Linked DNA regions of Cricetulus griseus. The protein of the gene in region 4 interacts with the protein of the main gene of each other region in a pairwise test. Links are inferred from orthologs where the notes say so. Each region holds a gene or a part of one and is shown on either strand. Other genes may lie near its edges.

Region 1 (7,807 bases), on a different chromosome or scaffold from region 4:
TAAGAATGATGACTGCCAACTTGGGCCTCAGAACTCTCAGGTATAGAAATCCAGGACTTCTACCCACTGTCCAGGAGGTATCCAAGAGTTGCCTGGTATAAGGCAAAGAGGACACTGGGCTAGTTAAAGGCCCTGGTAGTCAAGAAGAACTTGCCCCCTTTCTCATCTAGCTTCCTTTGAGTCAATGTGCAGATCTCCTTTCTGGCCACATCTCCGTGAACCCCTATATTTTCTGGGGCCAGAAGGAATGAATGCCCATGACCCTGTCCTGTCTGTCTACTTTTGTGTCTGTGCTATATATGGGTATAACTTTTACCTGGTAGCTTACTGAGAGTGGCAGATCATAACAGCCTCCTTGTAGGTTCATGAGTCTCTGGAATAAGTGCCAGTCTTTTTGCCATAGTTGACTTGCTTCCATATTGGGGCACTTCAGTAGGGAGAACTGTGACACTAGGCTGAGGACCAGGAAGAAGTCACAAGTAGTGGGGGTATCCTAAGCACATGAGTCTTGCCCAGCCAGGGTGTAAACCCAAACTATTTCCTGAATGGTCTGTGAATATGCCCACGTGGACACTGTGTCCTGCTGCTGTCCCTCTCCTGGTCTCACACTACCACTGCATGGCCTCCTATCACTGTGAACTGTGGCCTGGTCCCAGTTTGTAGTTTCATTAAATTGGCCCTTTCACTTCCCTGCCCTGGGCCTCCTCTGCTGTCTTGCCTGGCTTCCTTCTTTTCTGAGGGACAGGGTGGGTCTACAGGTAGTATACTGGCAAGCAAGAGATTGGGCCTGGGAAACAACACATGTTTAAGAACCCAATTACACCAAACCAGAATTTATATATATAGACTTACTCTAGGGGGACCTAGCTGTTCTGGGCCAGGGAGGTTTTGGTTTCAGCATTGGTTTCCACCATTTACATAATTAGGTGTCCAGGCTGCAGAGCCTGAGAACTGGAGCCCTTTCCCAACTTAGTGACCTCCTAACCCGAAGGCAGTATTATTCTGCCCTTAAACAAGATAGCACTACTGGACTGAGATCTTATATATAGTCTGAAGATGAAGCCGGGCACTCAGGTTCTGAACCAGGTTGGCCTTGGTTAAATCCAACCATCTCAACTGTGAAAATCGTGGGCTCACCTTTCAAGAGTTTCCCTTCTGTTTTACCTTTTTTTTTTTTTCACAGAATTTTACAGGAATAGATTCCTACTAATAAAAATATTTAACCCACATTTCTATTTTAGACCATGAATTGTTTACCTCAAAGTATTTCTAAGAAAAACCACAGGTTCAAGTAGACATTAAGGATCTTTATAATGCTTAGCATGAATACATGGAAAAATAAGGTATTAGGAATTGGCTAGGAGTGTTGGGAAGCAGGGGAGGGCTGTCATCAAAAGAGGATGTATGCAACATGCCACTATTTCTGAGGATCTCTACTTCCTTGTAGACTTCTGGGGACCAGGAGGTAGTCTCACCTACCCTATCCCAGGGAGGAGGAAGTATGAGGTGTCCGAAGTGCTGTAACATGTATATAGGTCAGTGAAGACAGCCCAGGCTAACAGGCTTCTTAGGGAAATCCCAGTTGAACAGGATAAACTCTGGGCTTGGAGACAGAAAAGCATAGTTTCCACCCCCAAAAGCTCCCTGAGGCCTAGAAAGTGAACATCAGTTGGCATGACTCTTTACCACAAAGCCTGGGTGTGTGGACTGCCCACTCCCAAGCAAGGCACTACTCCAAGCACTATTAAAGAAGAGAATGCACCCAGGCCTCCAAAATGGCAAAAATCGTGGAGCACTGCCAGATCAGAAGTCCAAGTCTGACTAGTAGTGCAGCCTGTGCCTGGTGTGTACCTGGCTGGCAGAGAAGATGCTGTTACGCAGAGGCTCTAGTGTCTGGCTTTTATTGGTTGCTTGTTTTCTCGAACCCAGCATTAAAAAAGTCACCTGAGGTGGTTGTTTAGTTAGAGGTGGAGATAGGGATGGAATAGGTCACTTGGGGTAGGTAGGATGCAAATGACAGGACAGGTCCTTCACATGTAGTACCAGGCCAAGAGTCCAGCAGCCAGGGCCACACTGACAGCTAGAACGAGCTGGAGGCTAGGCTTCCTCAGCATAGCCATGGCTGTCCGGAAGGGGCAGTTGCTGCCTTCCAGTGTACCTGCATGCAGCACAACAGGAGACATGGCATCAGTGGAGGGCAATGACACACCCACTCCAGAATGTTAGCTCAGGACCCACAACCTACCTTTGTCTGGCTGAGCAGCATAAAAGGGGCATTTACGTACATCCCCCTTCCCATCGTGCATGGGGAACCCGTCCTCCTGGTTTTCTCTTGCCAGCATGGAGCCAGCCTGGTCCAGTTCACTGAATATCTGAGGAGCAGAAATCAACTGAGCTATCCACGAACTAGGCAGACTCAGAATTTGCAACCTACTCACCACCCATAGAGAAGCTACAGCCTAGATACACCTGATCAGGACCAGCTGAACATCAAACCAAGTCTTAGTGGGAGTTCAATTGACTGCTGCTGTTCTGACACTGAGGGCTGACATGGGGTTCTGGAATCAGAAATGGCTTCTGCATGATCAGCCCTACCTACCTAAGACTTATAAAATGTACTCTACTTTCCAATTAAATCTGGCTCCATACTAAATATTTTTCCTTTCTTTGCTACTAAATGAGGAAATTACCCATTTATCAATCCTAGAAACCTGTAGCGAGAAAGAGGGGGATAGTTCTATTTTCAGACCTCTCAAATGCTAGAGCTTTGCCCTTTCCAGTAATAGGCATGGGCCTCAAACCAGGCCTCCATCTGGGAGCTACACACTGGCCCCATGCTCTCTGATGGCTAACTGGTTCCCTCATCTTTCTCTAGGGTATATAGGAGCTCATTTGTCATGCTACAAATAGCCTCTCAAGAAAGCTCTGGCTTTGATTCTACTGCTAAAAGATCAAGTTCATGCATCCAGGGTCTGTACCCAGTACCTGCATATTATATTCAAAGGCTTTGTTGGCCTCCTCCACAATCCTCTCTTTGGTCTTCAAATTCATGTCCAGGGCATTCATTCTGGCTCTGTAGAACTGCTTGAATTGCTGGGCATTGTCCACATGCTCAAACAGGTAGAACTGGGTCCCTTCCCCGGTGCTGGGGAGTTTCAGTGCCCTCTGGGCCACCTTCTTCAGCACCTGGCCTCCTGAAAGGTCCCCCATGTAACGAGTATAAGCATGGGCCACCAGCAGCTCTGGTTCATTCTGCCCTACATAGTGGATCCGATCCACATATTTCTGGGCAGCCTCGGAGCACTTCACCTGCTCCTCCCAGTCTTCACCAAAGAAATACTCCATGTCCTTGATCAGTGCTTCCTTCCGGTGTAGCTCCATGGGAAAATACAAGGGGGCAAAGGCTGGGTGGTCTTTGTTTCGGTCCATTTCCTCCTCAAGGGCTGAGTATGTGAAATAAAGTGCGGTAGTGGCAAGCTGTGAGGGCAATGGAAGATTGTGGGAGAAGATTATAAACTGAGCCAGCAGCTCTAGAACCCACCATGTTTTGTTTTTCAAAGACAGGCTTTTTCTGTGTAGTCCTTGCTGTCCTAGACCAAGGAAAGATCTGTCTGCCTCTGCCTCCCCAGTGTTGGGATTGAAGGTGTGTGCTGCCACCACTACCCAGATTTTTTCTTTTTTTTTTTTTTTAATTCACTATGTTTTAAGAGTAGCTCAAGACAAAAGCCACTTTGTCCAGTTCCAAAGACCCTCTGATGCCTTTTTTTATATAGTGTACTACTTAACACAACTAGGAAGCTTCTGTAGCTTCTTAAAGAAAAGACTGAATATTTACAAACATATTTTTGTTAATTCATTTAGGCTAGGGCAGCCATGATTAACACCAGGAAATAAAAATTTATGTCTGGTCGTGGAGGCACATACTTTTCATCCCCCATATTCAGAAAGCTGAGGCTGGAGGACCCAGGGTTAGAGCCCATCTGGACCACCTCCAAGAAAAATACCCAGCAGCTTCTACTTTAGAGTGGTTGTAGGGCAACTTCCCAGCCAACTAAGGCCACCCCATCTCCCATCCCTTATTAAAGTTTAGATTCCAACCCCATCTGACTGAGGGCACAAACCTTAAATAGCTCCTTCTTAATGTTTCCTTTCAAGAAGTCTTTGACAAACTGGGTATTTTCTGCCCGGTCGTGTGCTTCCTTGGTCCCTTCCTTTAGGAGCTCAGAGAGGTCTGCCATTCTGTGGAAATGAGTTGTGTGTGAGACAGTAGCCCTTTCCAGTTCTCCAAAAACGATTAAAGGGAAAAAGACAGTTTAGACCCCAGATACAAACTGGAAGCTGGAACTGCAGAGACACCAGTCCAGCATGAACAGGTGAGCGCTGTCAGCACAAGGTAGGCAAATGTGATAATCTGCCACAAAAACTCAGGGGGCATGAAGATTATTACTATGGAGAGAGGGGTTGGAGACAGGAGAGAAAGAGAGAGAGAGCACCCAAATGCATGATGTTTTGGCTTCTGTGGCCACCTAGTGGCTGAAGAAACAAGACTTAATTCAGCCCAGAAAGCTGCCTTCCTCCCAATGAGGGACCAATTCCTCAGGATATTATGTGGATGGGCCCAGATGTGAAAAGATGAGACAGTGGAGAGACAAGAACCAAGATCTTGGCTTTGTATTCTTTTCTTCTTCTCTCCTTCTCCTCTTTTTTGGTTTTTCCAAGACATGGTTTCTCTGTGTAGCCCTGGCTATTCTGGAACTCTGTAGAACTCAAACTCAAGAGATCTGCCTGTTGGGGCTAGGGAAATGGCTCAGAGGTTAAAAGCACTAGCTGCTCTTCCAGAGGTTCTGAGTTCAATTCCCAGGAACCACATGGTGGCTCACAACCATCCATTATGAGATCTGGTGCCCTCATCTGGTGTGCAGATATACATGGAAGCAGAATGTTGTATACATAATAAATAAAACCTTAAAAAAAATCACTGTTCTTCTAAAAAAAAAAAATAACCTAGCCAACTACAGGACTTTAGTGAAAGGCTAGGAAAAACGCAGATCAGGGCCAGTATTCTGAGCCCTAGAGAGATTAGCAAGTAAAGCCCTGACCTAGAACAGAGTTCAGATTCCACATTTGGTAGGGAGATGACCTTGTAAAAGGAAAAGGAACCAGCTTTTCCTCTCATTATTCCTCATTAGCCCAGGTGAAAAACCACTTAGGTTTTTTTTTTTTCCTTGACTGTCAAGATAGGGTTTGTCTATGTAGCCCTGGATGTACTGGCTTGCTCTGTAGACCAGGCTAGCCTGTGATCAGGGGTGCACACCACCATGCCTGGTATTACTTGGTTTTTAAGAAAAGAAAGATGCCGGGCATTGGTGGCACACACCTTTAATCCCAGCACATAGGAGGCAGAAGCAGGCATATCTCTGTGAGTTTGAGACCACCCTGGTCTACAAGAGCTAGTTCCAGGGCAGCCTCCAAAGCCACAGAGAAACCCTGTCTCGAAAAACCAAAAAAAAAAAAAAAGAAGAAGAAGAAGAAGAAGAGAAAGATGACTATTATGAAACCCTGACTCAGCACTCCTATCTGGCCTGGCCTGTTTCCTTGGGTAACAGAACACAGAAAACCAGAGAGTGGAACAGCCCAGGCTGGACAGTAGTGCCCTGCAGTGCCAACCAAACATCCCAGGCTCTACACAGCTCAGGGCTGTGGCATTCCCAAGTGCCACCGACAGACTGAACTGGCATGCGGGCAGATGGCAAAACAGGTGCTGGACCCTCCCAATGAGAAGCAGCCAGTTGCTATCACTCACTTGGTATGATTTTCCTTCTCTGGGGCCACAGAGTTCTTTTTCTCTGACTCATCTACCCCTTCCGAGGTCTCCACTTCTGAAGACATTGTTGCTGAGTAGCTCTTGCTGCCCTCACTCTGGTCCTGTAGAGACAGAAGGAATTGGTGACTGAATAATGTCTTTTGGCTTTAAGCCAACATAACTGAGGAGACACCTCTGCACCTCAAGACTGTTTTTCACAACAAAGCTCTGCCATTACTGGGACCATTTCAGAATATGGACAGATCTGAAGATGGACAGTGGGCTAGGTAACAGAATTATGATGCTGAATTTGTTCTTAGGCAATACACACTGACATTCAGAAGTAAATGGCATGCTGTCTGCAATTACTCTCAGCACTTCAGAAGAATGTATGTAGTATACATCCATGTGAAGAAAGCAAATAAGATAAAATGCTGACAGTCTGGGTAAAAGGTATACAAAAGTTCTTTTTAATTTTTTTGTTGTTTATTTTTTTCCCAGACAAGGTTTCTCTGTTTAACAGTTCTGGCTGTCCTGAAACTTGCTTTGTAGACCAGGCTGGCATTGAGCTCTGACACTTATCTGCCTGCCTATGCCTTCTGAGTGTTGGGATTAAAGGTGTGCACCACCACCACTGGGCTACAAAAGCTCTTTGTACTAGTCTTATCGGTTTTTTTTTTCCTCTGCATGTCTGAAATTATACACAAATAAAAAGCCACTAAAGACATAAAAGAAAGCTACATTTTTAAAAAGGCTGCAGGAACTTTCATCTTATTAAACAATGCAAGGCTTTCCATTTTACCATACAGTCCTGCCTGTGGGCTGCCAGGTGAAAGGAACAGAAGCAGTGTTGGCTAGAGTTGGTTAAGCCAGGCTGTGCCCAACATTTCCATTGTAGAACAGAACAACTCAACAAGCCTGAGACACCTTCAAGTGTCTTCAATGCAAACTGTCCCCAGCCCTATTCTGTACTTCACTCGGCTGCATGGAATAAAAAGGTAGCTGATCAACTCCCATTGCCTACTTCAGGGCTGAAATTTCGTCAGCAAGGGAAATACAATCCCATAATATGACAGTTTCATCCTCAATCTCTGGAGATTTCTATTTACACAGTACATAAGGGAACTTTGCAGATGAACAGTGTGATATAACATCATCAAATAATAAAGCCAGTCATAAAGATAAATTCCAACTCTAGAGCCATATCTGGCCAAATTGGGTCAAGGGAAACTTAATTTTCTACCTCAATTAGTACTCCTTTAGTGAGCATTTTCTACAATCCAGACAATTAGGTTATTATAAGAACAGCCTTTGAGGTAGGTGTGCAGCTCAGGGTTAGATGCACCACTGCTGCCTCCTGACTTACAGTAAGTATTTATTTATTTTTACAGTATGTATTTTTAAAAATAAAATAATACTAATAACTTGCTATGGCTTTAACAGTTTTCTAAACTCCAAGTACAATTTACTTATTTCCCTTTGAAGATTACCAAGTCCTCAAGCTGTCTGAAAGCTTCCTTTCAGGGAAGGCTCAATTACCACATTCAGCTAACATGGGTTACTGCTAGGGGAGAAACCTGTGTCCATTCTTGTTGCCTAGTCACCATTCCTCAAGGGAGTGGCCATGTAGGATGATACTAAGAGGTTACCTTGCCTCAGTGAAAACACTTATCTTCAATCTCTGTAAGACTACATTTCCAAATCCTCTGCTGACCTGTACACTCTAGAATCACTCCTTAAAAAATTGATCATAGCAATTTGTACCATAATAATAAATAGACATATTATAAAGGTTTGAGTTACTAAAAGGACAGTACACAATGGAATGCTAGCACCGCCCTGACAAGCTAACAAACTGATCATGCACAGAATAGTCTACGTTTAAAAAGAAAAAAAATCTGAGAGGAGGTAGTGGTGCTTGCCTTTAATCCCAAAACTAGAGAGGCAGAGACAGACAGATCTCTGTGAGTTCAAGACCAACCTGGTCTACAAAGCAAGTTCCAG
Region 2 (8,266 bases), on a different chromosome or scaffold from region 4:
AACAAGGCTACAGTTCAGAAATAGTCTGTTTTGAGAAAACATGGCCAACTACTCACTACCTAGAAAACTAAGCAGTTCTTTATAGTTCAATATGAAATGTATTTTTTCTATTTTTCATAGAATTGAAGGTCTATAACCAATATGTAAATAAGGTCAATTTTAACACTTGGCTTTTAATTATTTAATCAATGATATAAATATTGTGTCAGTTTCTAAGGTCTCTTGATTTCAATGTATTGCTATTTACACAACTACTTTAAGCTATTTCTGGCAACTCTGGTTTGGTTGCTGGTGATGAGATCCTAAACCACCTGATACTGACAGAAGCAGAAAGTAGCATTAGATTTTTTTCCCCTTGATCTTGGGTTTTGCTAGTCTAAAAATGACTAGATTTTGATTAGAAACTTGAAAATGACAATGAGGATTTCTGAGCATATCTAAAGCTAAAAAATTACCAATAACAAAGACAAAGGCTTATATTCCATTTACTAATGTTAGCACAGAGCCCCTTATACTTCCACAAGGGGTAACTACATGTTAAATATTCAACCAATGGTTACCTTTTTTAGAAACACAATGCTCTAAGGAAAATTTGTGAGCACTACTTGCACTCCAAAAGGGGAGATAATTTTAGAGTTGTCTCAGGTGCTGTAATACGTCTACTGACACTCCCAGCTGTTTCACTAAACTAGCTGTCTGTTCCAGAATCCAAGTGAGGCTTGGCTTTTCTAAATGTTCATGCTCTTGTGTTCTGCAACATTCTGAATGTGAACAATCTGTCCGGATATGACTCTTGTCAGAGTTTTTGTTAAATTCAGCACTATTTTCACAGAGTCTTTCATCTTTAACTTCATCAATCTTTTTCTCAGCTGGAACTACATGACAAAGGTCCATATCCTCAATGGAGTCCAATAAATCTGTAACTTGGGGCTGTGGAGCGACTGACTTCAGACGTTTGAGCACACACTCTTCACACTGGCCAACTGCGTCCAGAAGATTATTGATTTTACTGACCAAAGTTGAACTATTACCATGAAGGTGACACCAGGAGAGCAAAGCACTGAATGAAAATATGAACAAGAGTTAAATAGGAAAAAAATTACATAGTCACAGGCATTTAGAATGCTAGGCCCTACACGTTGTCCTTCTACAAAACATCAGGCAGAAACAGATTAGTGATAATAATAATACATGTCCAAATTAGGAAAATAACAATGTAAATAACACTAAAGAATAAAGCATCTTTTAATACAAGCTACAAGAAGACTTAATTATATTAACTGCTTATAAATCATACCTCCTCCTTCATAGCTCTGTACCAATTTTTTTTCTTTTTTTTTTCCCCCAAGACAGAGTTTTTCTGTGTAGTTTTGGAGCCTTTCCAGGCACTCACTCTGTAGACCAGACTGACCTCGAACCAGAGATCCATCTGCCTCTGCCTTCCAAATGCTGGGATTAAAGTTGAGCACCACCATTGCCTGGCCCATTTTTTTTTTTTTTTCTATTTTCCTTGACTATGTAACTTCTATGCAATAAAATATAATTTACCTAAAGACCAGAAAAACCAGTCCCTCCTTTTTGTTCCTTTTAAGGCAGAAAACCTAGGCTTGCTAAACTATTAGAAGGACAAAACACTATCGGGAAGAGTATTTTAAAGACTTCATCCTGGGCTACTCATTGTCACAAAGTGTTGTCAATGGAATGTTTTCTTCTTTCTTGGCAGTACTCAATATTTAACTGAGACATCAGGCCTGTGAGGCAGCCCCAGGTTCTCCTTTAAGGACATTAAACAACTTCTAAACTGATCATTCTTAATCTTTGTCACAAATTAGAATCACTAACAGAGCTTTAATTTTCTCCAAAAGTGTTAAGAATTCTACTTCAAATACACTTAATTATATTTGTTACTTTTCTAGTAGACGACCCTTCCTCCCGGATTGTTTATACAATTTAAGAAAACAATGGATCTCTCTTTCTTTGGTGAGGATTGAGCCCAGGGCTGTGTGCATGCTGAGCGTACACTCTACCTCTGAGCTGCCCCCTCCCGGAAAATACTATACAAGTGAAATTGACTGCTGTGAAAGACGAAGCAGTATGCTTTCTAAGTCATAAACATGAAGTGGAGATGACCCCTTGGTCCCTTTCCTGGTGTAGTAAATTATATATTCTAGTTAATTTTCTAAAGGTCTCAACATAATTTAAAACAAACGATTCTTTTCTGTTTTAAAATTTGTGATTCTTTGTAGCAGTTTGTTTCTCTATAAAGGACAGTTGAAGCATTACCCACATCAAAGAGGCCCACTCCATTCTTAGTCACCATGTGTCATCTGAGCGTTTGACTACTCTCTAATATTATTGCTATGGCATTCTGACAGGCATTCAAAGTTCAGGGCTGAAACACATAGGACCTCTTTCCATTAGTAGTTGCAGCTTTCCCAATGGACTTCTAGCCTACAGGCCTGCCATACTACATGTGGGAGTACAAAGAGCCTTATTTGGAAGCTCATCAGTGATTAGTGCTAGTCCAAATGGCAAAAAAAAAAAAAAAAAAAAAAAAGACACCTTCCTACCATTTCTTTGCAAAAACAGGAAAAGCATCAGACACACACATATTAAAATGGATGAACTGACAACGATTTTATATGCTCTGAAGACTCATGTATTCAACATTAGGAAAAGCTTTTATTTTTACATATTACCTCCATTAAAAAAAATCCATTAGAGTTGTGGTTAAAAGGATTCATTACTTAAATTTTTAAAATTACCTCAATGTTCCTCTGAGTAATCCATAGTTTATAATGACTTCTGCACCTTCTTTATAACCTTGATTGAAGCCCTGTTGGAGAGTAACTGCTTTGCCAGCATCTATTCCATCTCTGTAACCTTCCTAAAAATCAGAAATTAGTTGTAACTGACTCCAAGTAAATCTTTTCCAGAAAAGCACAGGACCCCTTTTGAAAATAGATTTAGCAGGTTTTTACTATGTTAACTGAACATGATATGGCAGAGACTTAAATCCAAAGCAGAATGTTTCTTCTAAAACCCTCTTCCTGGCTTGTACTTCCTTATCACATGTTTTATTTTCTTAAACCTTGTTTCCAGCCTGGCCTGGAACTCATAATCCTACTGCCTCATTCTCCTAAGTGATGACAGGCCTGTGCTTCGATGCCACATCCTGAACTCACTTTGGAAATATAGGGTTACTGAATAAACATTGGACAACAGTTGTTATGTAATTTTTAATACCTGTTAGCAAGTTCTTCACAGAAATGGAAACCTACATGTCTGGTCTTGGTAATGGACTACAACAGGGTAGTTAATGAGGCTGGCAAGGCCGGGGAAGAGGAAACTATTTTTAGGAACAGATGAGAGGAAGTCTGATTTTAGAAATCTAATTCGAATGTGGCATAGAGATTTTTGTCCTCTTATAATTGGTCTAGCCCCAAATTCCTAAGGCATTTTTATAATGGCATAATGGTTGTTGGACTCAACAAATACTATTAAATTAGGGTAGATCGAAACTGCAGTTTTAAAAAGGCAATTAAATGGCTGATAAATATATTGGGTGACATGGTTTTACCTTTTACTTTAAAAATATTTATGTAACATATATTTACTTGGGGGGGGGTGTTTCATGCTCCAACTTGAATGTGAAGGTCAGAAGGAACCTATTTTGTCCCTCCAAGATGTGGGTTCCAGGGGTGGAACTGAGATCATTATACTCTGGAATCCACCTCTATTTGGACACAGATCTTATCAGTTGTCACCCAAAACTAAGCTGACCCTACCCTCGTATTATTAAACAAGTTTCAATGAATGGTGAGACGGATCCGGAATGAATGACACATTTCAAGGAAAAAGTGAAACAATATCCCCTTCTCTACCTTCCCGTCCTTTGACAATAGTTTTAAATTCACCTTTACAGAGTTTTAGTAACACCACACCCAACTTTGGACTCTCCACCCACTGAACAACATCTGTGAATGTGCGTTTTCTGCCAGCCGTTAGTCTAGTCGGTGTATATTTCTCCCCTTCGGCTCTTTTCCTCCCCAAACTGCAAACTCTTGAGGGACTGGATCAAGTTCACTTTAGTCGGTCAGTCCCCTGATCCAAATCCAGCCGGGGATCTCAAAGAACGAGCCTGTTTAAAGGTTACCAAGTAACCAACCTGGAAATCCTAAGACTGGGGCGGCCGTGGGGGTCACCGCAGCCGTCCCCCTCCGTCCAGGCTTGCCCCCGCGAGCCCCAAGCCCCGCGTGGGAGACCCATTCCCGCGCGTCCCGGTCCCTGGCCATTTACTTGGATTCGTCTCCTCATGTGTCCCTGCCATTCCCGCTGCACTAACAGAGTCTCGTCCGCTTCCTCGTCAAACACGTCCTGATCCCCAGAGCTGGGAATCTCGGGAACCGCTCGGACCCAAGACATCTCCGAGGAAGCCTTGGGTCCCGGACCACCGGAAGTGCCGGCAAGTGCTTCCGGCCAGGGGGCGGGGCGAAAGGGTAGGTGAAGGATGAAGGGGCGTGTGCGTCTGCTACAGCCCTGCGACTAGGGGCTGGGTGGGGCTGTCCTCCCACGCTTCTGGGTCCGGAGGCGGGGTGGGTGCTGGGAGCTAAGTCCCGCCATTCAAGGGCTGAGACTCAGTTTCTGCGAGTGCTGAAGGCGCTGGCCAGCAGCGTGCAGCCGAAGACATTGGACTATGAAAGGTGATTCTGCGGTCAGTTTGAGATGAAGTAAAACCAGCATCCATTGGCAGTTTCCCTCCCAGCCTTCCGCTCCGGCTCGGCTCTGAGAGTTCAGGAGTGTGGCTCAAGCATTAGCCGCTTCTAGCCGGAGTACGTGTTAAAGAACTGGACGCCAGCGTTCCTGTTTTGTCCTTTGTGTGAGAAAAATGAGTCATGTCATTGAATTTTTCTGAAAAGTTTTCTGGAGTACCTAGTTTACATCGTTTTAGGCCTTTGAGGGACAGCGCTCCATAGGAATAAAAGTTCTCGCCCTGAGTTCTCAGACCCTGTGGACTTCCTATTAGTGTAGAAATGGCAGTTGACTAAGAATAATATATAAATAACCCAAAATTTAAAATGTAAATGCACTACTGTGGGAGAAGAGAAGATAGGTTACGATTTTTGTGCTGGGGATTGAGCCCCAAACCTTGTAAATGTGGAAGGAGTGTTGTGTCAGTAAGCTATTCCCCTGCAGCCCAAAGTTACTATTGTACATTTTCAGAGTTTGTATCCCGTAAATCTATATATAAAACCAAATATAAAATGTGTTAAGGTGTATGCATATATAGGTATTAATTAGAAAAAATGGTAGTGATTGAAATGAATAAAATAGAAAACTGGAAACTAATGCTTGTGAGTTGGTTCAGTAAACACTTGCCATCAAGCCTGAGGAACTGCGATCAATCACCATGATGGAAGGAGAAAACCAACTTCTGAAAGCTATTTTAAAACCAAACATTCTAATACAATGCAGTCTGAAGATATACTGATTGATACTTTTATAGAAATACAACACTGAGAAATGGTGGTAGGGAATATTAAAGGTTGTTGTATTTCTATAAAAGTTTTCTACAGTATGTATAGTAGAAACACTTCAGTATCTAGTATGCAATAGTCTTGGCTCTGATCCTAGGTGTTGGAGGCAGTGTTTAGTGGCACTGTGTAGCTTGATGGCAAGTGCATTACACAGTGTGCTTGCCGTGTGTTCAGGTCAAGGCTGCAGTGAAGCTGAACAATACAGCATAAGTCAAATGCTGCCAGAAACACCTTTGACTCCTTTTGGTTTTGAATTTTGGATTGTTTTCTGTTCAGAGACCTCTCACTGTTGCCCAAGTTTTCATGACTCTCATCTTCAATTATATGACCTCCTGATTCAAGAAGGTGTGTGTGTGTGTGTGTGTGTGTGTGTGTGTGTGTGTGTGTGTGTGTGTGTGTGTGAATGCACATGCATCTATGCAGCATATCTGTATGCAGTGTGTATGCAGGTATATGTGTACATATGTGTGCAAGGGTGTGGATGCTGGGGGTTAATATCTGATGGCTTCCTTACTCATTCTCCACCTTATCTTTTAAGACATGGTTTCTCACTGAACTAGACAATCGTGAATGGGGTAGGCTGTCTGGCCAGTGAACACCAGGGATCTGTCCCACTGCCACTAGAGCTACCACACCAATGCCAAATATGTGAAATAGCAATTCAGAGTCAGGTCTAAATATAAGGGTATTTATTTAGGAGGATCCTACTCATCACAACAGCCTAGCCAGCCAGCAGGGAGCAAGGTAAGTAGAAGAAGGGGCCCCATGTGCTTGCTTGCCTGTCCCTCACTCTTAAGCTTTCCTCCCATCACCCTGACCATGCCCAAAAGGGTGTGGCCAGGCACACCTGTAACCAGCCCCAAGCAGGTGTGGTTACAGTGTCCCCTACACCACACCTTTTTATGTGGTTGCTATGGAGGTGAACTCGGCCTCAAGCTTATGCAGCAGGCACTTTATCAACTGACCCATCTCCCCAGCTCCTGTAGTATTTTAAAGGTTCCATGTGTATTCTGGACATAAGACCTAAGTCAGATGCATGTATGCAGATGTAGTCTTTGCTCTAATTATATCCACTGAGAGGCAGAGTTAGGAACACAATGCATGTGAAAGAGACCAAGGAGAGCAAGTATATGCAGGCAAAGTAAGCTTTCAGAAAGTGATGCTGATCAACTTCTGTGACAAGGGAGGCAGAACCAGCGTCCTGGGCTGGCGTGTGTATTTCATGATGTCTTAGCTAATGTATGAAGAGCTCTACAACAAAGAACAAGGGAAGTCATACATTTGGGTCACACGGACATGTCATGCTCCCTTGTCAGCTTAGTTATGCCTGGAGAATGTCCTGGAACCGTGTGGCCTTGGCTAGGAAACCACAGCATATCCCATAAATACTCACACCTTCAATAGCCAGATGATCTTTCAATGTCCTCTCATGTGTATTATTCTATTTTCCAAAATTGCATCCCCACTCTTTAAAAGAAGAAAAAAAACCTCATAAATAACTATGACACCCTTGCATAAATTTTGATGTCATGATGTGAACTTACTCTGGAGGATTTAAGAACTGTATCTTGCAACTCAGTATGTCTCATATAAACATACTCTAATAGGGTCAGCCTTTAAGATTCACCACATTTTTCTCCCCAGTCGCCTGCTTGTCATTCATCTTTGTCTTTACTTTCAAAGGCTCCAACAATTCTTCTTTATGTCTTTCTATTTCTCATCTCCTGCTGACTTCCATTTTTTATCTTGGTTTTCCACACTCTATTTGTGCTCTTGCAAGGTGCTCTTTGGTAGTTGACATAATAAACTCCAAGAGGGCACAAACCTTTCTTAGAGTCTCCCCAGTATCTGGCATGGACACTTAATCATTCAGCCTTGGTAACTAGGCAGCAGAAGATTTCTTTAAACCAAGGAAATTTGGTTTCTTGCTTGTTTCTCCTGAACTTTGGCAAATACTGTCTTTAGTGTTCAGCAATAGATTCCCGGGTACCACACTGAATTGCTTTTATCAAGGTGTCACTAAGGTTATGTAATATGTATTAGAAAAATTGATATGAGTGGCAAAAATAGGTGGGAGATCATTAGAAATGCAGCAGAAATGGAGCGAGGGCTTGATGGTAAGGCTAATATGGGGACTATAGGCAGTTGCCTCCTTTAATTTTGTCTCTAGAAAACTCAAGCAAGCAGGAAAAGTACTTTAAAATCCAGTACAAAGTGCTTGTTGACTACCGAAAAGGACGAAGGAGGAATGCCAGACAGGAAGCCTAATTTATCTTTCTAATGGCCTATTGATGGGCAGTATATAGAAGCATGCTCAGGTTTGTCTCATCTTTCAAAGATCTCTGATTACCTCCAGGCTGTTTCGTAGCTATTTCTCTACATTTCTCTTTCCCTTTACAACTAAGCCTCTTGAAAGAGTCTCTGCAGCCCTTCTCACTTTTTAAGTCATTGGAATCTGGCTTCCAACCCCTCTATACTATTGAAATAAATGGGGTCTGGAGGTGGAGGGTGTGGCATGAAAAACAAACAAACAAAAACTAATCAACCAGCTATCTACTTTATTTCTCCATTAAGTTATTCATTGTACATTGTTGTTTAGTATGACCACTTTGGAATTTATTGTATAGCTATATACAATATATATACTTTTTAAACCTGTAACCCTCCTTACCCAAACCAGTCACCCAAGGGATTGCAGTCCTATGCTCCATGCCTGACAGTAAACAGTA
Region 3 (8,304 bases), on a different chromosome or scaffold from region 4:
ATAACTGTGTTTTTTTGTTACCTGGTAAACTTTACTGGAATAAAAGTTTGATTTGCATTAATTTTCCGAGTGTTTTGTCACTCAAATATTTAGTTTGGATAATTCAATCATATGTACAAGGTCTACAAATTGGATTGGGTTAGGATACCATTAGCTGACCAGATGATCAGCTCCAGTGGAAAAGAATGAGATGTTAGTTACTCTCTTATTCCTGATAAAATCAAAGGGGAAATGCAAAGAAAGCAAAGAGAATTCTTTATCTGCTTCATCGTGGGTATGTGCATATAGGTTCATTAACCACCTGATGAGGTTCTGGGAACAACTGAACTTGGGTCTTCTGGAAGAGCAGTAAGCACTCAGCCCACTGAGCTATCTGCCTAGCTACCAGTAATGAAAGACTTTATAGCCAAGGAATTTCTGAGGAGGAAGAGCTAAGACATAGGAATACATACCTGCTGGAACTTATATAAATCATTGTACTTTTCATGGAAGTCCAGACTCAAAAGTTCCTTCTGAAGTCCTTCCAGGAAGTCTTGGCTTTGGATGAAGTTTGGGATTACACAATGAAGAAAAGGATCCATGTCCAAGACAATAGCTTCTGTTGGAAGAAAAATATTACCTTTGTCTTTCTTCTCTTCTGTATTATACCAAGTAGCACAACATAATACAAAAGAAGACAATCATGAATTTTGGGAAACCTAATATTTAAAGTTTAAGATTCGGAAGAACCAGGCTGTAGTGACTCATTCCTTTAATCCTAGCGCTTGGGAGGCAGAGGCAGGTGGATCTCTGTGAGTTCAAGGCCAGCCTGTTCTACAGAGCTAGTTCCAGGACATCCAGGGCTACACAAAGAAACTCTGATTTGTTAAAAAAAAAAAAAAAAGATTCGGAGAAGAATTTTAAGTTGTCAATCCTCTAGTCATTCAAGACTACCTTTCTCAGATACTGTGCTTAAATGCTAGTCATTAATGAGTGAAGGAGATATCACTAATGGAAACTCCTGGTTTTTGTTAGTTTGTTTTGTTTTTAGTTTGTTAGCTTACTGATTCTTGCATCAATGCATTTTAGAGTCTTAACTCATCACTTTCTCCAGAGCAAAGTAAAACAAGAATAGCAAATTAAACGAGAATGGCAAAACTGGCTGGCCATTTTCTCTTTAATCCTGACCTTACTTCCCAAGTTTCCTGTGGGGAGGAAGTGACTGCATTAAAAAATAAATAAATAAATAAAGGAGTACTGACAGGCAGTGGTGGCACTTGCCTTTAGTCCCAGCACTGGGGAGGCAGAGGCAGGCAGATCTCTTTGAGTTCCAAGCCAGTCTGGTCTTCAAAGAGAGTTCCAGGACAGTCTCCAAACCTACAGAGAAATTCTGTCTCAAAAAAAACCAAAACCCAAACAAAACAAAACAAAAAAACAAGCAAAAAACAAAAAAAAAGGAATATCAGTTGGTTTCTTATTGATTTCTCTTCCACTAGATTATCAACCTATGACTACAACCAATCCGGCCGGACCTAGTAAGAGCCTGACCCGGGGGTGCTTTACAGGAATTACCTCAATTACGTTCTCAACAACTGAGGAATAGATAATGCTGACTATGCCTATGCAACAGATGAGGAAACTGAGAACTCTCTGTGGAGAGTCCACAGCCTGCACTTTAAACACTAAGTTCTCATTTTCTCTGTGTGTACAGAGTGTCCAGGATTCGCCTTTTAAAAAACACTCAAACGAGACAACAACAACAAAAACAGGGCAAACTTGGGAAGAAAATTCAAGACGCACCCAGCCAGATTCACGCTGTATAAGGTAATAACTTGTAGCTAAGTCTGGAATGATGGTTCCTTTCAAGATACTTTCGTTTCATGTGTCAGGTAGCCCAACAACAACGCACGTGAAAACCGGTTTCTCCAGGTGCTAGTTCTCTGGCAGCTCTCCACATCTGTTCAGGTTAGATGGCCATGCCACACTTGCCAGATTATTTACTGGTTCCCGGGGAAACATTTATGAATGCCTACGAGCATTAGTTTGTCAATCCTACCTTCCCGAAGGGAATAGTATTAATAGTTACGCTTTATAAAAGAAACTGACGCTAAAGCAAAGTTAAATGCATTGCCCAAAATGTACAATCAGCAGACCTCTGGTTCTAGAACTCAACCCTCAGTTTACATGTCTTCTACTTCCCCACACTCACGGACCTATATTTTCCTCCCCAGGCTTGTCAAATCAAGCAGAATTGGGAAAGAACCGAGCAGCAGTAGGGGGCTGTAGTCGGAGTGGCTATGGTCCTTCCCACACCTCTTCTCGCGGCCGCTCCTCCCTCACAGCACCCCATTACCATGGCTGAATGGCGTCCGGCAGCTCCAGGCCTCAGCCACCTGCTTCCTCACTGTTTCTTCCGTGACAGCGTCCGAAAACTCCGCCGCTACCTGCTTTTTTCCCTTCTTCACTGGCCGCGCGGGGCCCGGATCTGCGGGCCGCTTCCCGTTCATCCTCACCAAGCACAGTTCCACGCCAGGGACGTCAGACACACGACTTCCTTCCACAAACTACAGTTCCCAAAATGCCACATTCTTTAGTCCCAGCATCACCCAATGGGAAGGCACCAAAGAATAAGGAGGCTGGATCTATCCATAATTAACCATTGGAAGATGAACATACTGCGCCACCCTGCCAGCGATTGGCGGAATGGTCGCGGTGGGATACCCTCCCACTTCCTGCCGCCAGAGCCTATTCACTTCCGGCGTGCATTAGCCTCCTCTTGCTCTCGACTGTTAATGGCGGGCGGCGGCTGCTGAGCGGGACGCAGATAACCGCTGCCCGCCCTGCGGAAGTCTCCGCAGGCCCCGGCTTTCTGCACGTCTCCTGTATCGGAGCTGTTCAGCATGTCTGTGGTGCCGCCGAACCGCTCGCAGACGGGCTGGCCCCGGGGGGTCAACCAGTTTGGCAACAAGTACATCCAGCAGACCAAGCCCCTAACCCTGGAGCGCACCATTAACCTGTAAGTGCGGCGAGGCCTGGGCGGGCAAAACAGTCACCGGATGCGGGATGTCCCTTCCGGGATGCTCGCTTTCTTCTCCCCCAGACCGCTTTCTCGCCCCGGATTTGGCAGTTTTCCTATTTTGAAGAGAGATTTGTTCTCCCTTTCCTTTATTCAGTCATGGTTTGCTTTGAATTCATTATAATGTGCATGTTCTTTCAACCCATTGTTTTCATTGCACATGTATTTGTTTTTTATTTGAAATGAGTAACTATAATTTTGGTAGGGTGTATATTTCTTTTAGAGTAAGTTTTCCAGATTTACCTCTAATGGCCTAGGTTTTTTTTTTCTTTAAGTGTTGTGTAGTATTCTATCAAGTGACTACATTTTATTCATTTTCGTGCTGTCCTCTACCTCCTGCATTCGTATGTCTTGTCTGCCGAAGTGACACTATCACCGCCTGCACCCAGTAGACCTAGATTGAGAGTACACACTCTGTTGTCTGGTGGTCTTTAACACTGTTGGAGATAGCTTGTTGCCCAGAAAGCCTGTTGTGTCGGCTGTTTTTTTCTTCTTTTCTTTTCTCTTCTTTTCTCTTCTTTTCCTTCCCTTTCCCTCCTTCCCTCCCTCCCTCCCTCCCTTCCTTTTTTTGGACACAAGGTTTCTCTGTATTGCTTTGGAGGTTGTGCAGGAACTACCTCTATAGACCAGGCTGGCCTCCAATTCACGGAGACCCGACTACCTCTGCCTCCCGAGTACTGGCATCAAAGGTGTGCATCACCAACGCCCGGCTGTGGGCTGGTTTTGTTTTCAACACACCTTTAACCAATTTATTGCTTTTCGAGATCTCTCTCAAAATTTTGCTGTAGCAAGAAGTTGGGATTGGGATATAGCTTTATAGCTCACTCAGTATTTGGTATCCTGCTGCCCAATGTGGAGCTGATGCTAATGGAAGAAAGTGGCCAGTTCAGGCTGATTATGTATTTAAAAAGTGCAAGACTTTGCTGATGGTGTTTTGGTAAATCATCATTGTGTTTCTTGCTTTCATGTTCAAGTAAATGAACTTTTCCTTCTAAAACCAAATGTGACATAAAATTGAGAAAATTACTATTACTGTCTGTCAAAACAACTACTGGCCTGGAAACTTAGGTAATAAAATATGAGGTTTGTAAAATCTGGAAGTAGCTGAAAACTATGTCTGTGCAAATTAACTTTTGCAACAAAATACATAGTTGCACTTTAATTTCCTGTTATAAAAATGTTTATAAGATTCCTGTGAGCCTGGTGGTGGTGGCACATGCCTTTGATCCTGCACTTGAGAATCAGAGACCAGTGGATCTCTGAGTTAGAGGCCAGTCTGGTCTACAGATGGAGTACCAGGACAGGCTCCAAAGCTACACCGAGGAATCCTGTCTCTTAAAAAACAAAACAAAACAAAGGTTCCTATGAAATGGAGAAGGCAAGTGTTCTTTTAAAAAATGAATGAGGGGTTTGCTAACTGGTAGTTTGCCTAGTGTATGCAAGACTCCAGGTTCCATCTCCAGCACCTCAAAAAGTAAAAACTGCAAGCACAAGGTCTATATTACTTCAATGATGAGCGAAGGCCATGGGTTTTATATATACTATCCTTGATTCCTAGGTCAGTTGACATCAGGCCACTGTAGAATTATTGAAATAGGTGTGCTTTTAGAGATGTTTTACAGGTGAGCATGTTATTTTTCACTTCCTTTGTAATGCAATGTTGAGAAATAAATTGCTGTGAACTTGAGTCCACCTGGGTGAACTGTATACTAAATGGGATTTAGTATGTAGTAGGTCTTTGTTTCTGTAGTATGTTTTCATTTAGGGAAAACGGAATGGGTGCTTTTGTAACACACAGTGTGTATACACAGGACTAGGTGCTCAGATGGATGAGTAAGATGCACACTGTACTTTAAGATGCCCACAGTATGATGTGGAAAATGTGCTCTATGCGGTCTGATGCTCACATCTCACAGCTGGAAATTCTAATGTTTCATTCTGCTGGGATCTTACGATGTAGGAGATAGCCCTTGCAATAGAAATATATTGTGGCTGGGTGGTAATTCTTTCTAACGCAGGTTGGGAAAACCAAATGTTAACACATTGGAAAGCATTGTGCAGTAAATTGTACTATGTGTAGTAACTTCTTCCTAATAATGATGATATTAGATGGATTATTGGATCTACTGCAAGATTATTTGTAGTTGTTAAAGACCCCTGAAAAATGGGCCTTTAATCCCAGCACTTGGGAGGCAGAGGCAGGCGGATTTCTGCGAGTTCGAGGCCAGCCTGGTCTCCAGAGCGAGTGCCAGGATGGGCTCCAAAGCTACACAGAGAAACCCTGTCTGGAAAAACCAAAAAAAAAAAAAAAAAAAAAAAAAAAAAGACCCCTGAAAATGGTATATTTTCATTGTCTTAGAGCTACTTTGTTTATGCTTAGAATTTGACTTCTGGAATTAGTGGGGTTTTTTTGTTGGTTATCTTGATTTTCCTTCTCAAGAACTGAGAAGGAAACTGTGTATGTAGTTGTCTATTAATGTCAAGAGTTTTGTGTGTGATATATGTGTGCTGTATGTATCCATGCAGATGTATATACTTGTGTATGTGAGGGTTTGTATGTGGAGTGTATGTGTGCACTCGAGTGTGTGTGTGTGTGTGTGTGTGTGTGTCTGTGTCTGTGTGTGTGTGTGTGTGTGTGTGTGAAGCATTTGTGACTGTATGGGTGTGCCTGTGCCACACAGCACTTGTGTGGAAGTCAGGGCAGTGTCAGGTGTCAGTTCTCACCTTCTACCTTGTTTGAGAACAAGATCTCTCACAGAGTTACCATGGGATCTTGTGGAGCTATCATGCTCAATTTGGTTTGTTTGGTGCTGGCTGGATGTTTGTTTATTTTTGTGGGTGCTGGAGATTGAATTTAGGGCCTCATGCTTGCTTAATAAGCACTTTACTGACTGTCTTCTCAGCCCAGTATCAAGGATTTTGTTGTTGTTGTTGTTATTTTTGGTAGATGAGATGCTTTGGAGTTTGCCATGTTCAGCCAAAACATTCTTACTGAAAAAAACCTATAATTTAGGGGCTGCAAGGTAGAATGTGGTGAAATATAAATGTAGATTTTAAACTTTAAGGAAAATTTGGTCTTTACTAATCAAGATGAAGTCTTTAGCACTTTAAGTCATACTTTGGGTTCTAGATAGAGAGAAGAGGCTATTTAGCTTAGATATGGGCGGGAAGAGTAAGCATACTGGATAGGGTAAATGCCAAACTCAGAGGGAAAAAGAAAACAGGTCTAAGCCACTGTGGTGTTTTATGTCCTTAATCCAGCACTTGGGAGGAAAAAGCAGGCTGGTCTCTGTGTTCAAGGCCAGCTTGGTCTAAGTTCCAGAACTACTCTGTTTCAAAAAACAAGCAAGGGGATAGAAAGATGGCTCAGAGGTTGAGAGGTCCAGAGTTCAATTCCCAGCAACCACATGGTGGCTCACAACCATGTGTGGTTGTGAGCAAGATCTGGTGCTGGCTTCTGGCGTGCAGGCATATATGCAGGCAGAACATTGTATACATAATAAATCAGTCTTTTTTTAAAAAAAGAGCAAAATCTGGGTATTGCTGGGAGAGACAGAAAATAGTTGGAGAGGGACTTCTTGAGGTAAGAGTGCTTGCTGCCAAGGCTGATGATGTGAGGTTCAGTCCCCAGAACCCACATGGTGAAAGGAGAGTACAGACTCACACAAGTTATCCTTTGACCTCTGAACATGTCATAGAACATCATATGAAGACATGTACAAAGACTTTTTTTTTTTAATTAAAAGAAAGCAAGAGAGATGTTGATAGACAGTGGTGGCTCAGCATATATGAGAAAAGAGATTAGCTGTAGTGCCATTTAGCTAATAGAAGTTATAACTAGGTTAATCAGAAGAACCAGGCCGGTCATTTGGTATTAGTGTAATGAAATGATTAAAACCAGTATGGATATAAACTTTGATAAACATTTCAGGGACCTTAGGACAATGCAGTCTGTGCTTAATTCATGGAAGTTCTGGCTTCGAGAGTAAGACAGCAACAGTATTCTCATCTTTGCTATCTCATAGCTGGTTGTGAAGTTTTGGGCCAGCCTTTGACAGTGTAGCTTTGACCACTGTTTTTTTTTTTTTATGTTGTTTTGAACTGTCCTGGTAAATAAGATCATCTGTTCTCATGCTAAATGCTTGTCTTTGGTTCACAGGTATCCGCTTACCAATTATACCTTTGGTACAAAAGAGCCCCTCTATGAGAAGGACAGCTCTGTTGCAGCCAGATTTCAGCGCATGCGGGAGGAATTTGATAAAATTGGGATGAGAAGGACTGTAGAAGGGGTTCTGATTGTGCACGAGCACCGGCTACCCCATGTGTTACTGCTACAGCTGGGAACAACTTTCTTCAAATTGTAAGTAGTGTTGGAAATTAACAGCAAGACAACTTGTAATAAATTGACTCTTTAGCTTGGAACACAATTATTTATTTAAACAAATGCTATGAAAGATTCTTGAAAGAAAACAGTCACGTTTTTTCTCCAGTGTAGTGCTTACTTCCTTTCCAAAGTAGAAATCTGCATGTTTTATATATTGTTAATATCCTTGAGCTAGATCAGCCCAAACTCAGTTTCTAGGAGTGATAGAAACATTACTGAATGAGGTTGTTTTTGTGTAGTTTAATCACTTGAGCCCATAACTCTAAATATTTACTTGCTCACTGTTAAGATTGTGCCAAAAAGAAAATCCTCAAAACTGTCTTTGAAAAATGGACTATTCCTCAGACCTAAAGAATGTAGTCTGTTGTCTGGGTATTTGCTAGACTCCATTATATATAACTTTCCTGTGAAGAGGCTGTGGTGGATTGCTGGCCAGTGGTTAGTTTATTATATATATTGGCTTTTCTGGTTAAAACGAGGATTGTATATGATTGTCTGGTACTTAGCATTGTGTGTTCAACTTGACAGCACATCTCCCACCTTCAGTCCTTGACTGCTCATCAGATGGCACTGAAATATGTCTCATTCAGTTACTTGATAGAAGCAATGATTACTGTGTTCTTGCTATATTATCCCCAAATTGTATTAAATTCTTAACCTTTATACAGACCTGGTGGTGAACTTAACCCCGGAGAAGATGAAGTTGAAGGCCTAAAGCGCTTAATGACAGAGGTATTTTTCTGTTTAACCACTCCAACAGTCTCATTGTCCATCTGAATACCGCCAGCTTACTGATTGAGTTTTCATATGTCTTGTGAAAATATGGTTAATTTGAATAGTTAGTAGTCAGTAAATACAACTTAAA
Region 4 (7,516 bases):
ATTGTGTGTTGGGATTCTGATAGGATTGCATTGAATCTGTAGATTGCTTTTTGTAAGATTGCTAATTTTTACTATGTTAATCCTACCTACCCAAGAGCATGGGAGATCTTTCCATTTTCTGATATCTTCTTTAATTTCATTCTTCAAAGATTTAAAGTTCTTGTCATAAAGGTCTTTCACTTGTTTGTTTAGAGTTACCCCAAGGTATTTTATGTTGTTTGTAGCTATAGTGAAGGGTGATGTTTCTCTGATTTCCTTCTCATATAGAAGGGTTACTGATTTCTTTTGAGTTCATCTTGTATTCTGCCACATTCCTGAAGGTGTTTATCAGAGGTAGGAGTTCCCTGGTAGAATTTTTGGGGTCACTTATGTATACTATCATATCATGAGCATATAGTGAAAATTTCACTTCTTGTCTTCTAATTTGTATCTCCTTGATCTCTTTTTGTTGTCTTATTGCTCTAGCTAGAACTTTTGAGTACTAGATCGAATCGATATGGATAGTGGACAGCCTCGTCTTGTTCCTGATTTTAGTGGAATCACTTTGAGTTTCTCTTCATTTAGTTTGATGCTGGCTCTTGGCTTGCTGTGTGTGATTATCTCACAGCTTATTTTAAATATTTAAAATTGTATTTCTTGTATAAACTATAGTTTCTTTTCTTTTCTTTTCCTTTCCTTTCTTTTCTTTTTTTCTTTTCTATGTTTAGTACAGAAGAGTGACTGAGTATTTTCTCCTGTATTCATTATTTGGGTCTTCTATAATGTGTGCTATTTTAATTGTTTAGAGTACACAAATGACAATATGGACTTTCCAGGTATTCTTGACTAAGAAGAAGAGTCACATGTGTGCAAGTAAGTTCAGTTTATGGTAAAACACATCATTTGTTTGGAGTAAAGAGTAGAGATGATCATTAGGAAAAAAATCTGGACGAAGTTCAACCTCACTGGATTTAACACAGTGAATGAATGATTACTCAGAGATTATGAGGTGTGTGGGGAGGCCTTTCCAACATTGAATGAACAGGCACAGAAGTATGAAACAACAGGCTTTATTTGGGGGAATTATAAATAGTTTGATTAGCTGTCATTGTAGGAAAGGTGGCAAGCACTATGGTAGACAGTAAAAGAGGACTCAGAATACTAGGAGCCAGATAAACAGTATTAAGGGCTAAAGAGCGGATGTTTCTCCAGCAGTGAGAGGTCTGCCTTTTTGTATCAGCATGTAATTCACACTTCAGAGATCCTATCAGAAGCAAGAAATTTAGCTGAAATAATCCATATGAGGGTTTGAAGCACAAGTACTTGGGGAAGGAACTAAAACAGTGAGAGACGATCATTATTTCTTTGGTTGCTTAGCTTTTCGAGACTGTTTCTGTGTAACAGCCCTAGCTATCTTGGAACTGGCTCTGTAGACCAGGCTGGCCCTGAACTCACACAGATCCACTTATCTCTTGTCTCCCAAGTGTTGGATTAAAGGTGTGCACCACCACATTTGGGCCTATCACTATTAACCGTTTTTGAAAGGTCATGTAACTTTTGGCTTTGATTCAATATTTTAGAAAGCAAATCTCTAGTATAAGTCTTGTTATACAAGTGAATAATATTCCTAATGGGGAATAAAATATACTTAATAGAGAAAAGTTAACCAGCACGTTTCAGTTTTCATGTCTACCCCACCCCTTTGGATCTTAAAACTGTATTGTTTACATGTATGTGTTTGTGTATTTGCTTGTGTGTGTGCACGCGCCTGTGGAAGCCAGAAGAAGGTATCAGATCCCTAGGAACTCAAGTTGGTTACTAATTGTTATGAGTCACCAAAAGTGGCTCCTGGGAATCACACTCCAGTCCTCCGAAAGAACAGCAAGCACTCTTAAATGCCAAGCCATTTTTCTAGCTCTTACTAAGAATTTTTAAAATGTTGTCAGTTTTTTTATTTTTTGATATTCAAATGACTCATGAATTAAAATGATATTAATTACTGACCGTGCAAGCTAGTAACTCAACCTCCTGGTAACACAAAAGGCAGAGATCTTACAAAGTCTTAGACAAATAGCTTTATTATTTATGGGGGATGTTATCAATCATATGCTTCTTCGATACTTGTACAAAAATTTATTAGAATTAGTAATTTCAGAAAACAAAGCTTCACTATCATACCTAATACATAATTTGAATAATAAAATAGCCTCTTTCACTTTTAAATAGAGAAAATTTATATTCATTAGCATGCTTATTGAAAACAATGAAGTATTTCATTCATTAAAAATGTATCAAGAAAATACATAATAAAGTATAATTTGTAGCATAAATATAAGCTAGTAAATTCATTTCCATTACTTACATTATGATTTGCTTTTATAAAGTCTAATATTTTAAATCATTAATAAATGCAGAAATACAGAATTTATTTACAGGATTCTCAAAAATAATGATTCCACTAAATAGTGACTGTCACAGTTGATCAGTATTTTTTCTGCACTCTGGATCCAGTATCAGGAGAGAACCTGGTCCTTGGCTGGCTGTTCTGTAAGAGAGTTTAGAGGGTTCTCATATTGTCAGATCCACAGATGTTAATAGGTCATTCTCCCTCCAGATTATGACTTTTAAGAAGACTACATAGATCAGTGTCAACAATGCTGTGCCTGCTCTCTGTAATAACTCACAATCTTAATGTGTTGCCTTTGGTAGCGTGCTTCAAAGGGGTGTCTGTTGAGCATGTGCATGGTTGTGGTTGTGCATGGGCAGGTGTACTTGTCTATGTGCACCTGGAGCTCAGAGGTTGAATTCAGCCATTTTTTTCTCCTCCCACTTATTTTATTATTTCTGTTTTTGAGACAGGGTCCCTTCACTGAACCTGAGGATCACCATTTTGGCCGACTTACTGGGCAGCAGAGCCCTGAGATTGACCTGTGTCCACTCCTAAGGGTAGGGCCACAGACTATGCTGTTTTTATGTGGGCTGGGATCTGAACTCATGTCCCTATGCTTGTACAGCAAGCACTTTACTCACAGAGCCACCACTGTCTCCAGATCCTTGACAGCAGCTTTCTAAATCCAGGGGTGCTACACCTTGTAACCTCAGCAAGTGAGAGGTGAGAGGCAGGAGGATCCAGACTTCAAGGCTAACTACATGATGCCCTGTCTCAAAACCCACAAAATATGCAGAGGGACTTACGCCATCTGTTGTGTATATAGTATATGTGTGTATATAATAGTTTTTGTCTTCTTCCTTTTTTATTTTAACAAAAACACTTAGAAGTCATGTAAGACCCTAGGAATGTTTAACATATATTTTAGACCGAAGATAAAGTTGTTTCTTAAAAATTCATTAAATTTATTTTGTTTCAAGTCACATGGTAGTGGTGCATGGCTTTAATCCCAGCTCTAGGGAGGCAGAGGCAGGCCGATCTCTGTGAGTTCAAGGCCAGCCTGGTCTACAGAGTGAGTTTTAGGACAGCTAGGACTACACAGTAACCCTGTCTTGGAAAATGAAAGAAGAAAAATTCACTAAGCCAGCATTTGGACCAAATGTAGCTAGATGGTTACCCATCATTAGTGGGTTAGTTCCCATCATGATAAAACTGTTTTTCACAGCTCACTGAAATCTGTGTCATAGATTTGATCTTCTAGGTCACTAATTGACATTTCTCCATAGATTCTGATGTCCTTTGAAGAAAAAAGTACTTAAAATTTGAATTAAACAATGTCTCATAATACACAAATCAAAGTAAAGATACTTAAAATTTGCAAATTTTGAACTCAATACATTTTTGTCAGGAAGAAAAAGTATCACTGGAAATATTACCAAATTAGGTAATATTAGGTAACAAAAAATTTAGGGAAATCCCAAGCTAGTATGAAACAAGTGCTTGCCAACAAGGATGCTCCAAACCTGTGTGCCTGGGGTGCACTGTGCAAACCCTGCTTCTCAGGGAAGGACTACTGGATGAGAGAGCGGGAACAACCTTCCTCTGTCTTGTCAAGATCCCGGGACTCAGGGCACTCAGCCTTTATCCTCTCCTCTCAAAACCTCACAAGGTTCTCACATTAGAAAAGACTTGTGTGTTTTATTCTGTGTGAATGACTGTTCTGCCTGCACATGCATATGTACACCATGTGTAACTGGGTCCCGTGAGGTCAGAAGAGGGCATCTGATCCCCAGGAACTAGCGTTACTGATGACTGGTCCTTGGCAAAAACAAGTGCTCTTAACTGTTGAACTATCTCTCCAGCCCCCTGCGAATGTCTTTACCTCAGTAATGTCTGCATGAAACAACCAAAGGAGGAACTTAGCAAATACTTACCAGAAGTGGTATTAACTGTAAAGTATTTTTGATGGATGGGTTTTTGTAAATGGCTTCTTGTACATCTGAAAAATCATACCATGATACAAAAATAGTTATGTATATAAAGAGAATCACTAAAGAATTAGCAACAAAATTTCAATGTGTCAAAATATTCAAAATTGAATATGACACTCTTTTCCTACTGACTCCAGAAATAGTCCTTATTTGCAAATAGGTCCAAAAAAGAAAGCAATTTAATTAAGAACAATTATAAAAAGCTGAAGCTGGTAAGGGGGATTTTATAAAACAATCTTCATTCCAATGTCATATTTCCTTTTGTTTTATTCTTTTTAAGTAAAAAAAAAAAATTGGTGGTTGTGGTAGCTCATGCCTTTAATGACAATAGTCAGAATGCAGAGGCACACAGGTCTCTATGAGTTTGAGGCTAATCTGGTCTACATAGTGAGTTCCAGGCCAGATAGCCAGTCTTATGTAACCAGCTTCCCCCACTTCCTGTGCTGGGGCTTGAACTCAGGACCCCTCTCACACTTTTTAAAAATTAATTTTATGTGTACTTGTGTTTTGCCTGCATGTATGTCTGTGTGAGGGTGTTGGATCCCCTGGAACTGAGGTTACACACAGTTGTGAGCTGCCATGTGGGTGCTGGGATTTGAACCCCAGGTTCTCTGGAAGAGCAGCCAGTGATCTTAACCACTGAAGCATCTCTCCAGTCCCCAAGAATTTCTTTTTACTTATTTTGAAATGCGCTTTTCACTCTACATGCTAGTAGTACTCATTAAATTGGAGAGTCGTGATCCCCAACCAGTCTCAGGTCTTACAGCTTCGTCATTTAAGCTCTCGTTTGCTACTTCTCACCTCTTTGTACCTTATTCTGGACAGGCTTTTCTGATTTATATTCTAGTTTATTAATTCTCTCTTCAGATGTCTATAATCTGTTGTTTATAAATAATGAGCTGAATTTTAAATTTATTTACTCATAGGATTTGTAATTTCCAAACAGGCAAAGTCATTTTATATTGTACATTTCCTTACTGGAGTTTGAAACATATTTCTCATTATTTAAAATATATAAACATAGTTATTTTTTAGTTTTTTTTTGTGTCTGGGGTCTATTTAGTATGTATTGTGATATCTTTTGATTTTCTTTGAAAGATATTTAATTATTTTATATATACAAGTATTCTATCTGCATACCAGAAGAGGGCATCAGATCTCATTATGGATGGTTGTGAGCCACCATGTGGTTGCTGGGAATTGAATTCAAGACCTCTGGAAGAGCAGCCAATGCTCTCAACCTCTGAGCCATCTCTCAATCCCTCTTTTGAATTTTTAATGGATTTTTTCTTTATGGATTAGTTTTTGGTGATTATTGACTATTCATTTTCTTTAGATCACATTTGTGATCATTCTTTGAAAACTCGAATATTGGCCACATCGCAATTAGTATCAAAAGGGATATTAATATACGTTTCCTCTATTATTCTGGAGGTGTTAGGAGTTTGAGATCATTTTCAATTACGTCCTGTGCTTCAGGATTTATAGACCATGCTGGTACTATGAGCATGGGCTATAATTAGTATGAGGTGCACACTAGGCTCCATTTCTAGAGCACCAGAGATGTTTTCTCCCTTATGTTGGCTGCTCAATACTGAAGTTGAAGAAAGGTAAAGTTTTGGTTTCTTAAAAACCTCCCCACTTTTTGTGGTTGAAAGGCATGGATTTTTTTGGTGGTTCAACTTAATTGTGGAGTATCTTTTCTGAAACTACCAGGTATTGTTCCCTTCTAATTATTCCACTAATCAAACATCTTTAGCTTGAAAGTTTGCTGTATCTCTATCCTTACTTTCCTAGTTAAAAAATACTTTTAATTTTTTTCCCTTAAAGACAGGATTTTTATCGAGCTGGTCTGGGGCTTGATAGGCCACTCAGGCTGGTCTTTAGCTTCCTTTGCTCCTCTTGTCTTAGCCACTCATGTTCTGATATTACAGGTATTTCTCCATGCCCACACACACTTAGTTTTAAAAATTCTATGTGTATTCAAAGTTGAGAATTAAAAAATACTTGATAAAGTTATTTTTATGATGGTCAGCGTAGATACCTCGTTTGTTTATTGTTAAAACACAAGTAGTATGTTCATATTTTTCTTCTTCTTCTTTTTTTTTAAAGACAGGATTTCTCTATGTAGCCCTGGCTGTCCTGGAACTTGCTTTGTAGACCCGGCTGGCCTCAACCACAGAGATCTGCCTGCCTCTGCCTCCCAAGTGTTGGAATTAAAGGTTTGTACCACCATGCCCAGCTTATGTTCAGATACTTCTAAAACAGAATAAAGTATAGAAGTTGGTAGCACTATAAAAGACATGGTGTATCTGCAATTATCTAAAGTATTAATAATATTCTCAATTTTTAGATGATTTATTAAGGTGATAACTAGATATATTTTGTGTTTTTACTTCAAAGTTTTAAATTAAATAAGGATTTGACATAAGCTTATGAACAGCATGTTCCTGTCTTACAGAAGGTGTGCCCCCAAACTTACAGTATAACCTTTGATTGAGGTGACGGAGGGACTTCAGGACCTTCTGTTCTTCAGCTGACACTGCACAGGTGTTGGCTGGATGGGTCTTACTCAAGGACAGATTTGGTTTCTGTAGTGGCTTGCTGTTTATGGCAGTCAGAATTTCATCCTCAGGCACCAAACGCTCAGAAGTACTACCTGAAACTACAGAAACTGATATTGACTCTCTGATCACTTTGTCTTTGGGATTGACTTACTGAAATTATGTCTGTATATATACTCAGGCCACAAACAGAAGTCAGCAAATATTCTGTTACTGTGTATTTTGTTTGTTTGATTGATTTTTGTTGTTATTTTTGGTTTTGAGACAGGGTTTCACTGTGTAACAGCTTAACAGCTTTCACTGTCCTGGAACTAGCTCTGTAGATCAGGCTGGCCTCAAACTTACAGAGATCGACCTGTCTCTGCCTCCCAAGTGCTGGTAACCTGCCAGCCAAGCCTGATAGGGGAGCAAGTAGGCCAGCTAAGCAGGTAGGTAAACTTCAGATCTTCAGTCCCCCTCCTCCCCTCCATATCCAATGCCCCTTATCGTTCTCAGCTCTATAGTGGACTATCTGCTGAGGCCTCTCCTCATGCCCCATTCCCAGGGGGCAAAGCAGATCCCAGAGAGACACCCTGCTTTCTTCTCTCCAGTGT

The links.
Region 1: the proteins of Cep126 (region 4) and Hmox2 interact in a two-hybrid assay, tested with the Homo sapiens proteins (2 studies listed by BioGRID and IntAct). The link is inferred for Cricetulus griseus from reciprocal best matches to the Homo sapiens genes CEP126 and HMOX2.
Region 2: the proteins of Cep126 (region 4) and Yae1 interact in a two-hybrid assay, tested with the Homo sapiens proteins (2 studies listed by BioGRID and IntAct). The link is inferred for Cricetulus griseus from reciprocal best matches to the Homo sapiens genes CEP126 and YAE1.
Region 3: the proteins of Cep126 (region 4) and Nudt21 interact in a two-hybrid assay, tested with the Homo sapiens proteins (2 studies listed by BioGRID and IntAct). The link is inferred for Cricetulus griseus from reciprocal best matches to the Homo sapiens genes CEP126 and NUDT21.

What each region holds. Positions count from the first base shown.
Region 1 is NC_048600.1:41,905,881-41,913,687, forward strand, and holds the end of Hmox2 (heme oxygenase 2), read right to left. Parts: intron 5,926-7,807; 5' UTR 5,890-5,925; coding exon 5,804-5,889; intron 4,240-5,803; coding exon 4,122-4,239; intron 3,478-4,121; coding exon 2,986-3,477; intron 2,373-2,985; coding exon 2,246-2,372; intron 2,159-2,245; coding exon 2,031-2,158; 3' UTR 1,886-2,030; downstream 1-1,885.
Region 2 is NC_048596.1:240,633,058-240,641,323, forward strand, and holds the start of Yae1 (protein YAE1 homolog), read right to left. Parts: upstream 4,478-8,266; 5' UTR 4,426-4,477; coding exon 4,300-4,425; intron 2,888-4,299; coding exon 2,766-2,887; intron 1,061-2,765; coding exon 631-1,060; 3' UTR 1-630. UniProt on the Homo sapiens protein: The complex LTO1:YAE1 functions as a target specific adapter that probably recruits apo-ABCE1 to the cytosolic iron-sulfur protein assembly (CIA) complex machinery. May be required for biogenesis of the large ribosomal subunit and initiation of translation.
Region 3 is NC_048596.1:170,225,870-170,234,173, reverse strand, and holds the start of Nudt21 (cleavage and polyadenylation specificity factor subunit 5), read left to right. Parts: upstream 1-2,742; 5' UTR 2,743-2,879; coding exon 2,880-2,995; intron 2,996-7,214; coding exon 7,215-7,415; intron 7,416-8,107; coding exon 8,108-8,171; intron 8,172-8,304. Other genes in the region: prolyl 3-hydroxylase OGFOD1, read right to left, coding at 453-598, 2,333-2,486. UniProt on the Homo sapiens protein: Component of the cleavage factor Im (CFIm) complex that functions as an activator of the pre-mRNA 3'-end cleavage and polyadenylation processing required for the maturation of pre-mRNA into functional mRNAs.
Region 4 is NC_048597.1:122,459,394-122,466,909, forward strand, and holds the end of Cep126 (centrosomal protein of 126 kDa), read right to left. Parts: intron 7,025-7,516; coding exon 6,842-7,024; intron 4,368-6,841; coding exon 4,303-4,367; intron 2,525-4,302; coding exon 2,462-2,524; 3' UTR 2,040-2,461; downstream 1-2,039. UniProt on the Homo sapiens protein: Participates in cytokinesis. Necessary for microtubules and mitotic spindle organization. Involved in primary cilium formation.